Linked DNA regions of Rattus norvegicus. The protein of the gene in region 1 purifies or fractionates together with the protein of each later gene. This does not show direct contact. Links are inferred from orthologs where the notes say so. Each region holds a gene or a part of one and is shown in the gene's direction. Other genes may lie near its edges. The genes, in order: Rps2, Tsr1 and Stau1.

Region 1 (3,776 bases):
GGAGGCCAGAGTTAGAGTTACATCTTCTTAACCTGAGCTACCTCTAACCCTTCACACTGACAGGCTCTCAGTACTGTCACCATGGCTGCTTTAAACTGTATGTACAGCAAGCCTGCCTCTCCAGTACAGGCAATCACACCCAGGCTCCAGTCAGTGTAACCCCAATCTTTGAAAGGCTGAAGTAGGATTGTTAAAATTCAGGGCATTCCTAGAGTACAAGGCACAACCCAGTCTCACCAAAAAGTGGAAAAAAAAACTGGTTCAAAACCGCTCTTAGGTTGGAGAGATGGCTCAGTGGTTAAGAACACCGGCTGCTCTTCCAGAGGTCCAGAGTTGGAATCCAAGCAACCACACAGTGGCTCACATCCATCTGTAATGAGATCTGATGCTCTATTCTGGTGTGTCTGAGGGCACCTACAGTGTACTTATATATAATAAATCTTTAAAAAAGAAAAACCCGTTCTTATGGGAGTCAGTTACACCAAGTGATGTACATTCACGCAAGCAAAACAAAGCACATTAAAACGCACAAGAATCCGCCTGCCTTGGGTACCCAGATGCTGACTGCTGAGACTAACACACCGGTTGAGAATGCACTTTCCGGGGTTGGGGATTTAGCTCAGTGGTAGAGCGCTTGCCTAGCAACCGCAAGGCCCTGGGTTCGGTCCCCAGTTCCGAAAAAAAAAAAAAGAAAAAAGAGAATGCACTTTCCACCTAGACTGATGGTAACCGTCCAACACATTAATACACAGTTAAGTTAAAACATTTTATTTGAGAAAAGAGGACATCCGAACCCTGTCATTCTCGCGGGAGAGTCAGCGGCAACGTCCAGATCCGGTGGAATTAACTCATTTTGAGAAAAGAGGACACCCGAACACTGCCACTCTTGCGGGGGAGGCGGCGACAACGTTCAGATCCAGTGGAACCTGTGAAATAAATGACGTGATTAGGACTGTGGCCCCAAGCCAGACCGCGGGAGCGGCGAGGCGATCTGGAATGTAGGGGCCTGGGTTTCACCCTCCCACACTGGGGCAGCAGGGGGTGAGCTGAGGCCTCTGTGGCTCTGGGCGCCGATTCTCAACCCCGGCCACAGGCCAAAGCCGAGGATGATTTTCAACGAACGCCCATTTACTGGGTCAAAGCCCATCAGGAGCGACCTACCTGGACATGAAAACGGAAGCACGAACTCGTGGACACTAGGAAGACCACAAAGCGCCGGCGCGAGTATTTATATACGCGCTTCCGGCTGGTGGCGTTCGCGGCTTCGGCGAGGGGAAGTGCGCAGGCGCAAGTAGACCGTGGCGGAGGCGGGACAAGACGCAGCCAATCACAGCCTGCAGTTGCCCTGTATAGACGTTCGAGATCTCGCGGCTCTTGGCTCGCTATAAAAGGTCCCTTCCGCAGCGCCTCCCTCTTCTTTTTCTTCGGGAAAACACGTGAGTCTGTGTTACTGGGCTCTGATCTTGCGGCCTGGGCTGTGGGAATCCGTGGACATCCGGACGGACACAGCTTTGGCAGCTCCGCGGACCCTGGGGTTCTACTGATTTGCTTTTTCTTCTCTTGTCACTAGCAAATGGCGGATGACGCCGGTGCAGCGGGAGGGCCCGGAGGACCCGGGGGCCCAGGATTAGGAGGCCGCGGCGGCTTCCGCGGAGGATTCGGCAGCGGCCTTAGGGGCCGCGGTCGTGGCCGAGGCCGTGGCCGCGGTCGAGGCCGCGGGGCTCGTGGAGGTAAAGCTGAAGACAAGGAGGTAGGTGTGGGCCGCTGGCGGAGCGGGCTGCTCACCCTCTGCACGGAGATGCAGCCCTTTGACTGATCTCTTCCTTCAGTGGATCCCCGTTACCAAGCTGGGCCGCCTGGTTAAGGACATGAAGATCAAGTCCTTGGAGGAGATCTACCTGTTCTCCCTGCCCATTAAGGTACAAAGATGAGTCCGTGCATAAACAACTCAAGGGCGGGAATATCTAGATGGCTCTAAGTGTGCTGCCACATTTTATTGTCAAGGGTGGAGGAGGATTGGAATACCCTTCTTTGTCCATTGGTAGGGAGCGAATTTAATGTATTTGCCATAAAATCTCTTTTACAGGAGTCTGAGATTATTGACTTTTTCCTGGGTGCATCTCTAAAGGATGAAGTTCTGAAAATCATGCCAGTGCAGAAGCAGACTCGGGCTGGCCAGCGGACCAGGTTCAAGGTTAGTTAGGATCGTTTCTTGGCAAGAGCCGTTTGAACAGTAGGGCTGTACTTAACTCTCTCACTCTGCATGGTTACACTAGGCTTTACCCGTGTGACTTTCGTACCGGGAGAGAGAGAAAAGGAGTTCCTCCAGTACTTGGGATTGGCCTCACAGTGGCCTTTCTTGCTTAGAGGAGCACCACAGGTCCTGTTTGGGATGTGCTGGTGGCATGAGGTATCTACAGCCATTTCACTTAAGTCTTTTCACAGGCCTTTGTCGCTATTGGGGACTACAATGGCCACGTTGGTCTTGGTGTTAAGTGCTCCAAGGAGGTAGCCACTGCCATCCGAGGGGCCATCATCCTGGCCAAGCTTTCGATCGTCCCAGTGCGGAGAGGCTACTGGGGGAACAAGATTGGCAAGCCCCACACTGTGCCATGCAAGGTGACAGGCCGCTGTGGCTCTGTGCTGGTTCGTCTCATCCCTGCCCCCAGAGGCACTGGCATTGTCTCTGCTCCTGTGCCCAAGAAGCTACTGATGATGGCCGGTATAGATGACTGCTACACTTCAGCCAGGGGCTGCACTGCCACCCTGGGCAACTTTGGTAGGTAGCTCATTTATTGTGGCCTCTCTTCAGCTGTTTTAATCTTAAAAAAAAAAAGACAAAACCAACTCTTTTACTGTTTCACAGCCAAGGCCACCTTTGATGCCATCTCCAAGACCTACAGCTACCTGACCCCTGACCTCTGGAAAGAGACTGTGTTCACCAAGTCTCCTTATCAGGTAGGCTGATTCAGATGGTGGTGTGTTGGGGATTTAGCTCAGTGGTAGAGCGCTTGCCTAGGAAGCGCAAGGCCCTGGGTTCGGTCCCCAGCTCCGGAAAAAAAAAAAAGAACCAGATGGTGGTGTGTTTAGCTGCCTTAAGCTTTGTTGCCTGAGTTGGGGGCATGTTGTATACTAATGTCCTTCTCTTTTTAGGAATTCACTGACCATCTTGTGAAAACCCACACCAGAGTCTCTGTTCAGAGGACCCAGGCTCCAGCTGTGGCTACCACATAAGGGTTTTTATACAAGAAAAATAAATGAATTAAGTCTGTTAATTGTGTTTTTCCTTTTGTCTGTCTCCCCCATACCTGGAACTACACAGCTCTGGCTGGCTCAAAATGAGCCCAACTAAGCGGCTGTGCAACTTAGACACAGAGACACAGGTGATGGCCAGGCCTGTCATTTTATTTCAGCAGTGGATGAACAAGAGTTCTTTGTCTGGTGTCTTAGGCGGCAGCAGTCTCCTTGGCAGCCTTTCTCTCTTCCAGCATCCTCTGCTTCTGCTTTGCCAGGCACTTCCTGGCAGAATAGTAGGCTCCCAGGTCCTGGTCTGGAGGAGAGATGGGCCATGGAGAGCTTGTTATAGGCAGGTTTTAGTAACGCGGGAAACAAGGACCCAAAACTGATCATACAGCTGAAAGGGTGGGGAAAGCCACAAGGTAAAAGGGTCACTCACAGCGGTCCTGGTAGGCTTTAGACACTTGGGTGAATTGCTCCAATTCCTTGGCACAGTTCTGCAGTGCACTCTCTCCTTCCCTCTGCTGACAAGCCTTAAG
Region 2 (4,277 bases), about 46 Mb from region 1:
GCAAGCCTGACCCTGGCCGAGGGCGCTGCCAGGGACGCAGAGAGGGACGTGGGGCGCGGCCCTAACAGGACCCCGCCCCCGCCTGGCACGGTGGGCTGGCGGCCGCGCGCGTGGGTGCCACGAACTCTCTGCTCGAGGGCCAGCCCAGGGAGGGGTGCGAGCCCCTGAGACCTTGCCCCGACCGTACCTCCTTTTTCACGTTCCACAGCAGCTTTTCTTTGACTGCGTCCTCTGCGCTGCCCATGGTGCGGCAGGTGGCGGGCAGGCGGCACCAAGCGGCCCCCGAAGCCCCCGTGCGCCCTCACCGCCTCCGCACCTCCCGACTCAGCGCCCCACACGCGAGGCGGAGCCCCCGCCCGCTGCACTCCCCGCCTGCAGCCGCCGCAGCCACTGCCCGGTGCTCAGCTCCGCAGCCATCTTCCGAGCCCCGCAGACGTCAGGCAGCAGGCCCGGCCCCTTCCCACAGCCGGCAGGGAGGGGGTGTGTGCGCTGCGACTGGGGGGGGGGGTCAGGGCGGGTGCGGACGCCTGGGGGCGTCGGGCCCGGGCGCGCGCCGCAGGGATGGTTGTCATGGCGACCGGCCCGCTCCCGCCCCGAGGGCGCGAACCCGCATTGTGAGCGCTGGGAGTCAGCCTCTCGCCACTGCACAAGCGGGCAGACTTTGAAGAGGTACTTACTTCTGGCCTAACCTAAACCACAGTAACCGCTCCCTACTCCTGGCCCCTCGGAGAGGCGTTAAGGAGCCAAGGTCTCGGCTCTGGGTCACTGTGGTTCGAACATGATCCTGTCACTCCTCCGGATCCTGTGGCCTGCCAGCAGTTCTTAGTCGCAACGCTTGCAGGAGAAAAGCAAGAACCCGACCACGAGCTACGAAGAGCAGGTGCCCGAGCACAAGAGGAAGCCTTCGCTCTCCTTCGGGTCTCCACGTCCGGTTTTTGTTCATCTTGCAGAATTGTTGGGAGAGAGGGGCACGAGTCGGAGTAAGAGACAGAACGGAGCCGGTGACACGAGTCCCTTCTAAGTGACTCGCGTTGGGAATTAGAGTCATAGAGGAAAGAAAAGGATACCCAGTTACACGTTTTATTCCTTTATACAATTCATTGGGACCGGAGAGAGCGGCGTGGAAAATCTACTTTTATTTCTTCCCATGTGATGTAACTTTAGGGTGCAAAGGTGGGAAGATGAGAGCAAAGTAGATTTTTCTAATCAAGAGACGAAGCCGGGAGATTACTACCGGCGTCTTTCAGCTCTCAGCAGACGACTGCAGCGTGGGAAAAGTTACCACGACGTGTCCGCAGAGACTCAGTACCCCGCGCTCGCAGGCTGGCGAAAAAAACCTCGCGAGAGGTCACGGGAGCGTAAAGACAAGTCCCTCTCGCGGGCCGGAAACGCTCGGGTCAGCCCGGAAGTAGTGTTTACTCGGTGCACGTGGGCAGTTAGAATGGCGGCTCACCGCTCCGGGCCGCTGAAGCAGCAGAATAAAGCTCATAAAGGCGGGCGGCACCACGGCGGTGGGTCCGCACAACGGGACAGCAAAGGTGCGTAGACAGAGGAGGGAGAAGGGCTGCTTAGTCGATACCCGTGCCCGGAGATTAGACTTGGGACTCGTGCCAAAGACTCTTTTTAAGGAGCTTAGGGAAGTTCTTGTCTGTTAATTTAACCGTGAGGAGAACAGCCACTTCTGATCTGCCTTTCAGGTCGTGTAGGACCGAAAATCCTGTGCAAGAAGCTTAAGAAGCAGCTCAGCCGAGTAGACCAGAGGCATCGCGCCAGCCAGCTCCGAAAGCAGAAGAGGGAGGCGGTGAGGAGTGGGGGTTGGGAAGCGGTGAGGCCATGGCTTCAGATTGGTAAAGTCTCAAACTAAAAAAATGTGACACGGAAATGGGCCGAAAACGGGTAAACCCAGGGTACCTTCGGGCCGTGTTCTTAGTACGACGCCCCTCCAAACTCCTTGACAGCACATACATACACGAGGCAAGAGAATGCTTGGTTATCTTCATTTATACGGACTTGCTCTTTTGCAGAGGAGGAGGAGGAAAGGAGGAGGAGAAGGATGATGATGATGATGATGATGATGATGATTTTAAACAAAGGATCTCACTAGGTAGCCCTGGCCGGCTGAGAACTCAGAGATCCTCTCTGTCTTCTGAGTGTCCGGTTTAAAGGCTTGGGCCACCACACCTGGCTGTTCCGATCTTTTCTCATGTTTTACGTTACATAAATTTCCCTTAGTATTTTTACAGAGCAACAGAAAGGAGAGCAGTTGTGCTTTGGGGTTGCAGCATCTGTACTTTTGAAGATGTAATGACTAGTGAAGCAAATGATTGAGATATTCTTGAATCTTTGTGTTCCTAGGTTCTGGCAGAGAAGAGGCAGCTGGGCAGCAAGGATGGGCCTCCACATCAGGTGCTGGTGGTGCCTCTGCACAACAGGATTTGCCTTCCAGAGGCATTTAAACTGCTTCAGAACGAAGACCTGGGAACAGTGTATTTGAATGAACGGGGAAGCACCCATAGTTTTATGCTTCTGAGCCCTAGCTTGAAACATCGGTGGTCTTTCACATATGCAAGACCAGGTTAGGGGATCTAATCCTTTTCTCTTCTTATGTTTAAGTGGTTCTATTTCTTGATTACAATGTGCTAACTATCTTTTTTTTTTACGGTGTCTTTTATATACAGGGGATCTGCATACACTATTAGACATGGCTAAAGTTGCTGATACCATCCTGTTCCTCCTGGACCCATTAGAAGGCTGGGACAGTACTGGGGATTATTGTCTATCTTGCCTCTTTGCTCAGGGCCTTCCCACCTATAGTAAGTGTGTTCTAGTATCAGTGAGACCAGAAAACAAAGTAAATTTTCCTTTCATTTTTTTAAAGATTTATTTATTTATTATAAGTACACTGTCGCTGTCTTCAGACACACCAGAAGAAGGCATCAGATCTCATTACAGATGGTTGTGAGCCACCATGTGGTTGCTGGGATGTGAACTCAGGACCTCTGGAAGAGCAGTCAGTGCATTTAATCCTTTTATCTTTTAACAGCTCTGGTCCTTGAGACGTAATGTTTAACACTTGGTTTAGGAGTAAATCAAGGAGTTGAATTCTGCTGGCCTGGGCTATACTTGTCCAGATTAAACATTATTTTCATATATTTTAGTTTTTGGTGGTGTTTGCTTGTTTGTTTTGGAGACAAAAAGTTCCTCTTATGTAACCCTGACTGTCCTGGAACTGTTCCTGTAGACCAGGCTAACCTTGATCTTACAGAGATTTGCCCCCTACCACCCAATTCCAAGTGTTGGGATTGAAAATGTGCACTGCCACCTAGCTTTTTTTTTTTTTTTTTTTTTTTGGTTCTTTTTTTCGGAGCTGGGGACCGACCCAGGGCCTTGGGCTTCCTAGGTAAGCGCTCTACCACTGAGCTAAATCCCCAGCCCTATTTTCATATTATTAAAGAGAACTTTTAATTTCTGGGCTGTCCTGTGCCCAGGAAAGGACTAGGAAGTTAACACTCATTGTGACGTTTCTTTGGCTGTTGGGAGGTTTATGAAGAACTGGAGAGGGATCTTCAAGCAGTGGAGCACTAAGCTCCTAAGTTCTTCTCTCTTCTTTCAGTGCTAGCTGTCCAGGGACTTCCTAGTCTCCCACCAAAGAGACAAACGGATGCCAGAAAGAAGCTAAATAAAACAGTGGAGAAACGCTTTCCTGAAGACAAACTCCTGCTGCTGGACACCCAGCAAGAATCAGGAATGTTACTCAGACAGTTGGCTAACCAGAAGCAAAGGCATCTTGCTTTTCGGGATCGGCGAGCTTACTTGTTTGCCCATGATGCTGACTTCATGCCTAGTGAGGAGAGTGACTTAGTGGGCACCTTGAAAATCTCAGGCTACATTCGAGGGAGGACTCTGAATGTAAATAGTTTGCTGCATATTGTTGGACATGGTGATTTCCAAATGAATCAAATAGACGCGCCTGTGGATCCTTTCCCTTTAAATCCTAGAGTGGTTAAATCCCAAAAGAAACCAAGCATGTCAATGGAGGTAAGATTGGTGTTTCCATTTCTGGGAGTCTAACTCACTTGGCTACATTCCTTGCCTGAGATTGTTTTTAATTTTTTTACTGAATTTATTTTTGTGTGCTGGAGAGGGGTATATTACGAGTGTGGAAGGCCTTGTGGGGCCACCCTGCTTTTTAAATTTCAGAGCATATAGTTTGCATGCTGAGGCCAGTGAGGAGACTACTGCTGGTTTGAATTGTAAGGCAGTAGGAATTCAGACAC
Region 3 (3,614 bases), on another chromosome or scaffold:
GCAAGCCTGGGGCAAGGCTTCATCTTCCCTGCAGTAAGCAGCCTGCCCCTGGGGTTCCTCCAATTGAGATTAGTGTTTGCAGGAGGAGTTTCCTGTCTGTGCAGTCCACCATGTCCTGGGAGCCGTCCTAACGGTTAAGTCTCCTGTTCAGTGTCACTATGGGCTGGGTGTGCATTTCAGGAGGTCCTGGTCTCTGCTTCTGATGGGTGGTTGGGATTGGAATGGCTAAAATGACTGTCACTTGTGCCTAAAAGGGTCCGCGTGACCTAGCTTTGAATCGGCTTTGCTTTTTCTGGGACAAGATAGCATAGGCCAAATCTATAGATCAGATTTAGGATCCTTGTGTGAATTCTGAGTTGAATATTACTCCACTTTGAGAACTCACTCTGCAGAGTGGTCAGCGGGAAACTGAGCCATTGCTGGCTCAGCTGTTGTCATGTTGGGGTCTTCTAAAGTAGGCGTGAGCCTCTTTTGAGCTCTGCCAGTTTCACAACCAATAAATAAATCCCACTGCCTCGGAAGTCAGTACCTGGGACCCAGCCACTGCATATGGAGTTTGCAGACCTTGGTTTGCCTTCCAGATTTCCCATTCCTGAACCGTGTAGAGTACTCATAAGCACCCTCCCTGTGCCTGACAGCATTAGATACCTCCGTGTTCTCTGTGGGAGCACTGTTTTTGGATAGTTACGTAGGTGTTTCTGCTCAGCACCAGTACAGACCCTATTTTCCCAACATGCTGAACACTTTCAAGCCCACACCGCATTCAGGATCTGTTCTAAGTAGATGCTGCCACGGGGAAGCATGAGAGTTTATACAGCGGGGGTTGTGGTATTCTCCAGACCCTAGCGCTTCCGTGCTTGTCTGTGCTCACTGCCATTTTTCTTTCTTAAGACTCCAGTAAAGAAACCAGGAGATGGAAGGAAAGTAACATTTTTTGAACCTAGCCCTGGGGATGAAAATGGAACCAGTAAGTTTGGCCCTCTTTCTCGTCAGTTGAACCAGTGTGGTCTGTGTTTGTATGGTTCTTGTGTTGAGTTTTCTGAAGCACTGGTAGTGGCTGCCTTCCTGTGTGTGCTGTGATGGTGGTGGTAAGAGTGGCTCTGTCTTCTGGGGTGGTGAGGGTGACCGGTGGCCTGTGTCCCTGCAGGTAATAAAGAGGATGAGTTCAGGATGCCCTATCTTAGCCATCAGCAGCTGCCAGCCGGGATCCTCCCCATGGTGCCAGAGGTTGCCCAGGCTGTCGGGGTTAGTCAAGGACACCATACCAAAGATTTCGCCAGGGCAGCTCCAAATCCTGCCAAGGCCACGGTAACTGCCATGATAGCCCGAGAATTGTTGTACGGGGGCACCTCGCCCACAGCCGAGACCATTTTAAAGAGTAACATCTCTTCAGGACATGTACCCCATGGACCTCGCACAAGACCCTCTGAGCAACTGTACTACCTTTCCAGAGCCCAGGGATTCCAGGTAACTGTTGGCTTTCGCGTGGTCACCTTTGTGCCTCAGATGACCCTTACAGTGTGGTCAGGTCAGGTTCTTTCTGCAGAGTTGCCTGTAGAGTGTGTGCAAGACCCTGCCTGTGTTCTGCTCTCAGCACCACAGAAACTAGAAAAGGTTTTTGTGATTGTCCACGAGTTTGAGTGTACCGTGTGGTTCTGTGCAAGAAGGTCTAGGATGAGAAGGTGGCTTATCATGTAAAGGTGTCTATCTCCAAGCCCAACAATCGTAGTTTGATTAGTGGAAAAGAACCAACTCTAGCAAGTTGTCCTCAGTGTCCACACACATGCCATGAACACACCCAGGAGGTGTGTGGGGGGCAAAGTAGGCCAGGGCTGAAGGGAGAGAAGACATGTTTCCTTAGGAAGAGGAGGAGAGAACAGGCTTCTGCAGATTCTAGGCTCGGGCCCACATGCAGGGGATGTGCTGTTTTCCTTAGGTTGAATACAAAGACTTCCCCAAGAACAACAAGAACGAGTGTGTATCTCTCATCAACTGCTCTTCACAGCCACCTCTCGTCAGCCATGGCATCGGCAAGGATGTGGAGTCCTGTCATGATATGGTATGTGGGCCCGGGAGGTGCTGAGTTCTCACTCAGGAGCTGGCACACGTACTTGTTCAGTGTTAGTGGCCTCAGAGAGGGACATGGTTCTCCTGGAACCCGGTCAACTGGTCTGATTCCTCACTTCTGCTCTATTCTGGCAGCCACCTTTGGGGTGTTGTGTTCAACACAAGGAGGAATCAGCACACTTGAGCTTTGGTGTTCACTGGATGGGAAGCGTGGGAGTTTTATGTTGAGCAGGATTCAAACATTTCATTGGGAAGAAGTTGCCACCCATTTGCTGGAGTTTTCGGCATGAGGCCAGTCTGTTCCCTGTGGTTTGACTCTTCCTTCCATCCATCTTTCTAGGCTGCACTGAACATCTTAAAGCTGCTGTCTGAGTTGGACCAACAGAGCACAGAGATGCCAAGGACAGGAAACGGACCAGTTTCAGCGTGAGTGAACACACACACACACACACACACACACACACACACACACACACAGAGAGAGAGAGAGAGAGAGAGAGAGAGAGAGAGAGAGAGAGAGAGAGAGAGAGAGAAGGCAGTGCCAGTGTACACACACACACACACACACACAGAGAGAGAGAGAGAGAGAGAGAGAGAGAGAGAGAGAGAGAGAGAGAGAGAGAGAGAGAGAGAGAAGGCAGTGCCAGTGTGGGTGAGCGGGGATCCATTGAAAGGCAGGGTTAGTAGATGTGGACAGGAGCAGCCACCTCTTCACCCACTGTTATCCACGGAGCTGTGGTTAAATGTTACGTGCATTGGTGCTTTATCTGCACGTACATCAGTGTCAGATTTTAGTCACAGCCACCACTGTCACTTTCTTCCTCAGACACAACACTTGCTTTCACCGAGTACCAGCATTTTCTAGGATGATGTTATCAGTTCCCATACATAGGGCCTTGGGTGTTTGCAAGCTGCATTTTGGAGATTAGCTTTCATTTCAATGTCTGCCATTGTCATTTTTCTTTCTTAAAGGTGCGGGAGGTGCTGAACCTATTCTGGCCATGAACCATTATAAAACCCAACATATATACCGAAAATACTGAGAACTGCTTTGAAAATTTGGAATTTCTGATAACTCCAGTGGGCCAAGACATGGTGGATAAAAAAATGTGGCAAAGAAGAAAAGGAACTGCAGGTGGTGGCCTTGGTTGGGCTGGGCTGCTGGTGACGCTGTGCTCCGCCATCCACCAGGAGACCAGCAGCTCCAGTGTCTCCAGCTTTTATTTTTGCCTCGTGACAGAGAAACGGAGAGCGTGGCCAACTCTCACGCTGGCTTCTTCAGATTCTTTGGAAAACCGGGACAGCCACACCAGAGAGGCCTTACAGCGGCCCCGGAGCTAAACGCACCAGAGAAAAACCAGTGCTTCCTACATGACTGACGCAACTCTGCCACACGTAGCACCCACCGTAACCACTGCTTTCTCTTCAACAGTGATGGATGCCTGTTAGTTCCATTATTCCCTTTGGTTGAGATGACACTATGTAATTTTCATTTCAGTTTCTCAGTTGCATCTACTTACCTAGCAGTTTAGAAACTAGTCTGAGAC

Evidence for each region.
Region 2: the proteins of Rps2 (region 1) and Tsr1 purify together in Homo sapiens (affinity purification with mass spectrometry; 3 studies listed by BioGRID and IntAct, counting the BioPlex papers as one, with this or other methods). This does not show direct contact. The link is inferred for Rattus norvegicus from reciprocal best matches to the Homo sapiens genes RPS2 and TSR1.
Region 3: the proteins of Rps2 (region 1) and Stau1 purify together in Homo sapiens (affinity purification with mass spectrometry; 3 studies listed by BioGRID and IntAct, counting the BioPlex papers as one, with this or other methods). This does not show direct contact. The link is inferred for Rattus norvegicus from reciprocal best matches to the Homo sapiens genes RPS2 and STAU1.

Annotation. Positions count from the first base shown.
Region 1 is NC_086028.1:14,250,423-14,254,198, forward strand, and holds Rps2 (small ribosomal subunit protein uS5), read left to right. Parts: upstream 1-1,425; 5' UTR 1,426-1,436; exon of another isoform or gene 1,437-1,570; 5' UTR 1,571-1,573; coding exon 1,574-1,750; intron 1,751-1,829; coding exon 1,830-1,919; intron 1,920-2,086; coding exon 2,087-2,194; intron 2,195-2,248; exon of another isoform or gene 2,249-2,382; intron 2,383-2,445; coding exon 2,446-2,779; intron 2,780-2,866; coding exon 2,867-2,958; intron 2,959-3,153; coding exon 3,154-3,234; 3' UTR 3,235-3,275; downstream 3,276-3,776. Other genes in the region: Ndufb10 (NADH dehydrogenase [ubiquinone] 1 beta subcomplex subunit 10), read right to left, coding at 3,447-3,550, 3,677-3,776.
Region 2 is NC_086028.1:60,257,385-60,261,661, forward strand, and holds the start of Tsr1 (pre-rRNA-processing protein TSR1 homolog), read left to right. Parts: upstream 1-1,405; 5' UTR 1,406-1,441; coding exon 1,442-1,538; intron 1,539-1,697; coding exon 1,698-1,801; intron 1,802-2,355; coding exon 2,356-2,575; intron 2,576-2,678; coding exon 2,679-2,813; intron 2,814-3,613; coding exon 3,614-4,038; intron 4,039-4,277. Other genes in the region: Sgsm2 (small G protein signaling modulator 2), read right to left, coding at 188-244. UniProt on the Homo sapiens protein: Required during maturation of the 40S ribosomal subunit in the nucleolus.
Region 3 is NC_086021.1:176,099,840-176,103,453, reverse strand, and holds part of Stau1 (double-stranded RNA-binding protein Staufen homolog 1), read left to right. Parts: intron 1-891; coding exon 892-967; intron 968-1,147; coding exon 1,148-1,467; intron 1,468-1,936; coding exon 1,937-2,059; intron 2,060-2,407; coding exon 2,408-2,493; intron 2,494-3,039; coding exon 3,040-3,055; 3' UTR 3,056-3,614. UniProt on the Homo sapiens protein: Binds double-stranded RNA (regardless of the sequence) and tubulin.